Linked DNA regions of Drosophila melanogaster. The gene in region 2 interacts genetically with the main gene of each other region. Each region holds a gene or a part of one and is shown on either strand. Other genes may lie near its edges. The genes, in order: PEK and PPP1R15.

Region 1 (3,927 bases), on a different chromosome or scaffold from region 2:
TACCCTTTATGTAGGTAATATCCAATTACCATGGGCGAGCTTGAAATAAACAAACACAAGATTTTGAAGAAAAAACAAAAAACACAGCATACATAGATTCAAGTAATGATTTGATTTTTATGTAATATTTTCTATTCGTGCAATTAATGTAAAAATTGAATTTTCTGTAAGTGAGTAAGCCTTTGGTTAACTGTTTAAAATATTTCAACTCGAAAGATTAAATACTAGAGTTAAATTTGCAATTATACAAAAAGTTGATTTGTGCTTGCAACCGATTCCGTCACCAGGTACACGGTGCATGGGGCAAGAATAAAGGAAAGCAGGAAAAGGGGCACACTGGCAGACCCAGCTGACAGCGTAGAAAAGGTAAATGGGAAGTAAACTCAGCTGTTTTTGCGCCAAGAAGACAAGAACTCGAGGAACAACAAGTGTCAGTTGGCCCCTCTCCATTTCCCCTATCGCCATCTCTGTCGCGCCCACCAAGGAGCCGAAAATGGCGCCCGCAAAAAGGGGGGATAAAGCAAACGGGGGGAGAATTGTGAAATTCAGTGAAAACCTTGCACAAACGCAAAGGAAAGCAAAACAATCGGGGAAACCAGTTCGGATTGGCATGCTTGCCAAACAACATATCTAGACGTCTGCCTCAAACAAAAATTCAGTTAAGATCTTGCAAATGACTCACCGCATGCTTGATAAGCGCGTCCACTGATTACGGGTTTTCATAGTTGGCCAAGGTGCAAACATGTGGGTTCATATTATCAGATCGCTCCCAGACTTCAAGTTGAACAGAAGCTCTCCGAATTTCTCGTGTTAGACGGGACAAGGTACTTAAAGCTAAGGGCCGTCGCAAATGTTACCAACTTGTCGGATCAGCCGAGAATTTTGAGCTACGTATTTTCACTGGCCCCCCGTCGTACCACAGTTCTCTTCGAATTCCCCGTTTTAGCTGATTAAATAGGCACTTTTCGAGTAGTTCAACCAAATATCACTAACGTGTTCTTCGCAATATTTGCCTAGGTGCTGGCTGCTCGTTTATCCACTTGCACCGCGTTTTAGCGAATGTTCGAGAACATAAACATAACACACACATAACGCACTCTTCTTCTTCTGCTACAATCCATTCGATACCAGTGCATTCCTCCCGATACTTTGGTTAGGGTACGTACCTTCTTGCAACGCGACGCTCCTCCTGATCTACGCAGTGTTCGAGCCCGGGGGGACGGGGAGATCCGGCAGTCTGGAGCTCCGAATCAGTAGTTGGGTGCCCAGCTAGCACCTGGGCGGGATCGAAAGCCACCAGGCCGGCCATAGTGAGCGTGACGATCTGCAGGAAGCTCAGGCTCCGGCGACGATGCCTCACGATGCCATCCAGGTCGTCCTGCATCGTACGCGCATATAACGTAATCCTGGTCGTTGGCGATCGGACGCGGGGAACGGTGCAGAAATGCAAGTCTCTAATTGGTTCGAACGGTGACGTGTTGACCTCACTTCGGGGGGTCGGTTGGTGGAACAGCGGCGGCAGTGGCTCCCGGCAAGGTCGGCGCACATCTCCGCATCACTCTCGATGGCTCCTGCAGCAATCAATCGCAACTCCACTATTTAAATCCACTAAAACTGGTCAGTTTATGTTTTTGTTCCGATTGGGCCGCAAAACGCGCGATTGCAAGTGTGACCGCGTTTTGACAGCCTTAAAATAACAGATGACACCACAATACAGTTTATTTCGTCATTACCTAAAAGTACCAAAAAAATACACACGGTGGGAACAGTTTCACTAAGGTTTTACTATTTTAAACTTTTCCAGTAACTAATTTAAAACAATGTTTGACGCCCATGTTTTGACACAAATAGGGACAACTTAACAATAATTATTAAAGTAGATGAAGTATTATTTCCATCTCATCTCTTATTGAATACTTCTATTATTCGACGTGTTTTAAAAATAAATTCTATTCGGCTATAATTCTGACACATACCAAATGAAATTCAAACATTACTTTAATTTAAATATGCTCTACCTTCTAAAAATATGTTAGGTGGTATATTCGTCATAATATAGAAACGTTTATTACAACATTTATTCTTTTTAAAAAACTTTTGATTACTATGAAACCATTTCCTTGATTTTTTTAGAAACCGCATTGTTGATTAACAGAAACTTGAATTCGTATGATTTTCGAGCAGAAAGGCTACGCCATACACCCCTAGTGTCCTTGCGAAAAGATTCGTTAGTAGTACACACTACAGTATTCGTTGACTTTGGCAATACAAAAAATAGTTTTGAGATTTTCAAAACTAATTAAAATCTATTATGGTAGAAGTGGTATGTCTGATCTAAAGGAACGACATTAGCCAAGAGTCTCGAAATCCACATTCAATTCGTACTCTAAAACGTTTCCATCGTCTTCATCTGCTACTTAAGATCAATATAAATGGATTTTAATGCGAAGTGGATGGTCCCGCCAAAAGATAATTCATTGCAGTAGGGAAAGTCAAACCGAACAGCCATCAATCGATATACAGATTACCGTCAACTTTCAATCGGTATCTCGCCTTAATAAAAAAGCCAAGTTGCGTTTTAATTAAATTTAAAGTGTTTCATTTAATGTAAAACGGATTTTTTACTCCTGCAGGTCAGTAATTCAAGTCGGATATTAACTTAAATCCTTGATGGGTACAGCATCTGCAAGAAAAAAGAAGGCATGTTAATACAACCCAATTGTCGGACAGAAAAGGTGTGTTTGAACTAACGATGCGGATGCGGTGGCCCATGGCATGACCGGGCAGGTTCCTGTTGAAACGGGCACGCACAGCGCCGGTGTTGCCGTGGATGCGGGTGACCTTGCCCCAGACAGCGCGGACGCGGGTCTTGCGCTCGGGATGCTGCGGCACGCACTTCTTGGTCTCGGCCTTGTAGACATAGACGCAACGCTTCCCAACGTAGAAGGATCCGTGCTCCTTGCGGCGGGCGCCCTCAATCTGCAATGTAATATGTTGGTTAATCAATTACATTACTAAAATGTTTTTACAGAACTGGAATGTATTAATTATTATTTGAAAAACTCTGTGAAGTCCGGACCCATCACATTGAAGTATAGACATACCTTGAGGATGGCCTGGTTCTCGTGCTGGTTCCTCAGACCACGCTTGTAGCCGGTGAAGACGGCCTTGGCGAAGAGGCGTCCGTGACGCTTGTACTTCTTGGCGGAAACTTTAGCCTCTGAGGCGGCGGGCTTCTCGGCCTTAGGCGCCTTGACGGCCTTGGGAGCCTTCTGGGCCTTGGCGGCCTTGGGCGCAGTAGTGGACTTGGCTTGTGTGTCGGCCATGGCTTAGCTGTGGATGAGAAAAGATAATCTTTAGAGCCGTAGGCATTCATCATAGGTATTCGTTGGGGCTTGAGGGTTTCGATCATTTGCATGCATTTGATTAAACGAAAAGTACTTTAAACATTGAAGATATTGAGGTGCACAGCTCTGGGCAACAGTACATTAAAAACATCATTTTATATAAAAATAAAGCGGAGTCTGGTGAAAATTCCTGTACCCGACCGGCCTGGGGCAACATTTAATGATAAAAACAAAAACTGATAACACGGATCACTTATTAATCTTCCACAAGAAGTTATTGAAATCACGTTAAAAACAACAAGAAAAGCGGAGGCCAAAAATGAACGCTGAAATTTTGCAATCAATGTGCACTGTGCGAAGCATGGAACTTTTGGACGGCATCGAGGTGCTATTACGAATCGGGCAGTGCCCGTAGGGTACTCCTATCCTGGGTTGTCCCAAGGAACCACTTAGTCACAAAAAATCACAGATAAAGTTCGCCAGTAGATTTTTGTGCACGTGGGTTGGCGTTTGCAGGTTATTCCATGATTATTTGCCGTTTTTCCGGTGTACAGACTCCCATTATGGTGTCCGCGGAAAC
Region 2 (3,927 bases):
CATCGATTCGAATCCAACTGAATCCACACCGAACTGAACTGAACTGAACTGTGAACTGAAGAAGCACTGAAAACGAAACTCTCGGCGCAGCGCAACGAAACCGAAGCGATGAGATACGAATGCGAGTTGGGTTTGGATTGGAAGTGGAATCGAAATTGACGGCTGGAGTGGAGTAAGTGAAGAAACGAGCGCGACGCGAGCGAATAAACTACGCAAAAGATTTTACGTTTTTATTTTGTTGTACATTTGTGTATTTGTGATTTTGTTGTACTTGTTTCTTATGCAGCCCCATGTACTGCGCTGTATGTAATTATGCATATATGCCTTGCACATACATACATATATATGGCTCTGCTGTATCCGTGTGGGTGTGTGTATTTGGTGTGTGTGAGTGTGGTTTCGATTGTGATTGCTTCCCGACCAACGTCGATCGCTCACAGCTGTTCAAGTGAACTGACTGCAAGTTGATTTGAGTTGAGTCCACAGCACGTAGATACAGATACATGCACCCATACCAGCGTCACATACACGAGCTGTCGCTGTGTGCGTGCCAGAGACCGAAAGAGCGCAGGTTTTTGCGAGAGTTTCCTGACTCGACGAGTCAGGAGCGGACTTGCGGTTAGTTCAGTTGCATTGGCATAAAAGTGCCTTACGCCTTCCTTATTTTCCATAAAAGAGTTATTTCAATCAGCATAGAATTCTTTATTTGATTCGGTGCCCCTTTAAGTCATCAATTCTTCACAGCGCCCTTCTGGCTGGCGCCACCCGCACTGCGCCCCTTGGTTTGATATCAACTGTTGCAGTAGCGCAACAGTGTTGGTGTGCTGTGTGCGGGGAGGGGTGTGTACATGTACGCTTATGAATCAGCTGTTCCACTGTGTATTAATCATATGGCTGTTTGATTAATCTGTACGTTTGCTTGTGTGTTGTATGCATGTATATATACGAGAATAAATACACATTACGTATAAGCGTGCAATATACATATGTGCGCATGAATATGAATCTGGCTTCTGTTTATTTCAGACGATTCCGAACGGTCTTGAGAGCGGAAAATCTGAATATTATACGTAAATATCAGATATTATATGTATGCCAGTACATACATCCTCAGAAAACATATGCATGCAGGCACTATGCTGCCATATACGAGATCTCGAATAATATGCATAAATGGCATGCAGTTAACGTAGAACACTCGAATATTATGCGAAAATATAGAGATAACTATATATATTAACAGATACAAATTCGATGTACATATGTACACATAGTATTTATCTACAGAATGACGCAGCGGAACATGCACTTGCATTTTCATACAGTGTCAGGTATAAATATCGGGTAAAGAACCATGTACATGCAGTGTACATACGAGTATGCATGATTTAATTGTACTCGGACACACGGAAGTAATCGAGTTGATCGCTGCGACCGCAATATTTCATCCTAAGTTTTAAGGCTGCGATATATTTATTTACATTTTATTCTTAATTTATTTCTTTTAAAATAAGCAAATCTCCCAACATACATAATTCTAACAATTGGAGTACTATAACTAGATCTGTCTTCGTCTTCATAAACCAGAATCATGAACGATGACTCATCAATCATATGATCAATTTTTAAAGTGACTTCCTAGGAGCTTATGATCCATAAATTTGTATATCGGTGTTACATCCAGCTTAAATAAAAGTATACATTTATCACGGTTACTTAATATTGCTATTAAATCGCAATAATACCTAAAAATGTTCACTCACGGAGAAAAATCAGATTATCAACAATAAACTCATTTTCAATCTGTAAATAGAAAAATATTTAAATAACCTCTTATTTTAATAAATCTGGAAAGCCCTTTTAAAAGTTTCAACAATTTGAAACTTGAAATTGAAATTGCCTATCGATAGTTTGCAGTTGCCCGTTTTGAATGGGACGATTTTGTGGGGTGCTTAAGTGAATGGTCACAAAAACAACAATACCCAAGGTGATTCAACGTCTGTTATCGATAAATTTTCAGCTCTAGTGAAAAAGTATGGAACTATTCTGGTATAAAACGTGTAAAACTCTGAATATTATTGTGCCTGGACTCTATATCTCGCTATATACGCTACAAACGAAAGCAGAACTAGCCTACAACTGAAAAACAGTAAAGTGCAAAGGATCGGATGCACGACATACGTAACATTTCACCATATATGTGCGTTATTTCACTCCATATTACATTAGTTAATCGCAGTAACCATGGATAAGTGTGTTTCAAATTAAGCTGGCCACCATGCCCCCCAAAGCCAAGTTCAAGAAAATGGCCATTCGCAAGGGATTCCCACCACACCAAACGCATACTTGTGTCTTTAAGTTCAGATGTCGAAATTTCACACCCTTATGGGCGCACTGTTTGACCCCTTCCTCTTTGTTCTCCGCCTGATTGCAAACATGAGTTCCCCTATCTACGAGCAATATCGGTTCGGGCCGTCACGTCCCCTCTCCGCTGGATCACGTACACTGTGGAAGCCAAACAAGGTGCATCAGGAGGCACCCGAGGTCAAACCGCTCGAAGTCCCCGAGGATTTGCGGATCCCAACCCTGCAGCCAGACCCCCTGAATCCGCTGGCCACCATGATGTCTTTCAAGCTAATGGCTATGGACGTAGTAACTCAAATGCAGACCGCCCTGCACAAGTGCGTCAACGCCCAGAGTCCGCCGGGCGCCAAGATGGCGGGAATCGAGTTGGACGCCTTGCGGCGTTGCGTACCGTCCTCGTGCTACTTCTTTATTGACCTGCATCCGCACCACGGCTTTAAGGATACCGCGGAGGATTGCCCTACTAGTCAAGCCTCCAGTGACCGGAATAACAACGCTGGCTGTTCGCAAGGATCGGCTGCCAAGAGCTCCTGGCAGCGGCAGCGTAGTATTTCCGAGTGCAGTGAGGACAGCTTCATTTGCTTTGAGGACGACGCAGAGCAGGCGGATGAGGATGTCGAGGAAGACGAGGATGATGATGACGACGACAGCAGCGTGCAGTTTACAGCATGCGGTGAGGATGAAAATACCGAGGAGCTAAAGGCCTGCCAGTGCAGCGACGACAGCTCGACTCCTGTCAAGAAGGTGAAGAATATTTTTGCGCGGCATAAGTGGGCATATCTAATTTCCTATTTATGCGCACAGGTTCGTTTCAACATGAAACCCGAAGTTCACGTAATGCTCGCCTGGGACTACGCTTATCGGGCTGCCAGAAAGAGCGAATGGCAGGTAATGGCGCGAGATCGGGATCGCTTTCAGCAGCGGATTCGGCGGATTTCACCCATTCTCAATGCCGTCCTGACTCCAGTTCACCGAGATCGTGTCTACCAAGCTCGATTCTTGCACGAGGACTAGCTGGTCCGCATACCTGAAGTAACTTTTGATGTACAGATTACAGTTTAGAACGATTACAGCATTAAATTCCAAGTTGTTTGCGTGTATAAAGTGATCGATTTAGCCACTGCGTTCGTGATTGATTTTATGAAGCCAAAAACTGTTTAACCTGTAAAGTATATCAAAACCACGTACACTTTTCTTCGCCTTTAGTTTTAGAGCCCTAAGAAGTTTGAATTTGTTGATAACGGGATTAGCATATACCTTAATATAACTTGAAATAAATTAAGCAATAGACGTATTTTACTGTGTGTTCTTCTTTTCACATAAGATTGCTTGCATTGTGTTCCAAATTCCCAAGCCAAACAAGTTTGGGTAAAGACTTTGTGTGTACGTGGGTGAGAGATAAGCTCTGAATAGAAACAGATAAGACGGCAGTTTGAAAAAATAGGTACGTTTAACATGGAGCAGTAAATTTCATAAATGTTATCGCGTTAATTCATTATTTATTTCATGATTCCTTCAGTCGTTTGCAACTTGGTTTTGGATCTCCGAAACTTATTTGGCCAA

Evidence for each region.
Region 1: of PPP1R15 (region 2) and PEK, changing one suppresses a phenotype caused by changing the other (phenotypic suppression), as found in Drosophila melanogaster (one study listed by BioGRID).

Annotation. Positions count from the first base shown.
Region 1 is NT_033777.3:5,463,049-5,466,975, forward strand, and holds the start of PEK (pancreatic eIF-2alpha kinase), read right to left. Parts: upstream 1,706-3,927; 5' UTR 1,385-1,705; coding exon 1,167-1,384; intron 848-1,166; exon of another isoform or gene 745-847; coding exon of another isoform or gene 683-744; intron 73-682; exon of another isoform or gene 33-72; coding exon of another isoform or gene 4-32; intron 1-3. Other genes in the region: RpL35A (ribosomal protein L35A), read right to left, coding at 2,660-2,683, 2,752-2,979, 3,105-3,326. UniProt on the Drosophila melanogaster protein: Phosphorylates the alpha subunit of eukaryotic translation-initiation factor 2 (EIF2), leading to its inactivation and thus to a rapid reduction of translational initiation and repression of global protein synthesis.
Region 2 is NT_033778.4:23,975,329-23,979,255, reverse strand, and holds PPP1R15 (protein phosphatase 1 regulatory subunit 15), read left to right. Parts: upstream 1-2,000; 5' UTR 2,001-2,364; coding exon 2,365-3,108; intron 3,109-3,168; coding exon 3,169-3,378; 3' UTR 3,379-3,657; downstream 3,658-3,927. Other genes in the region: mr (morula), read right to left, coding at 3,916-3,927.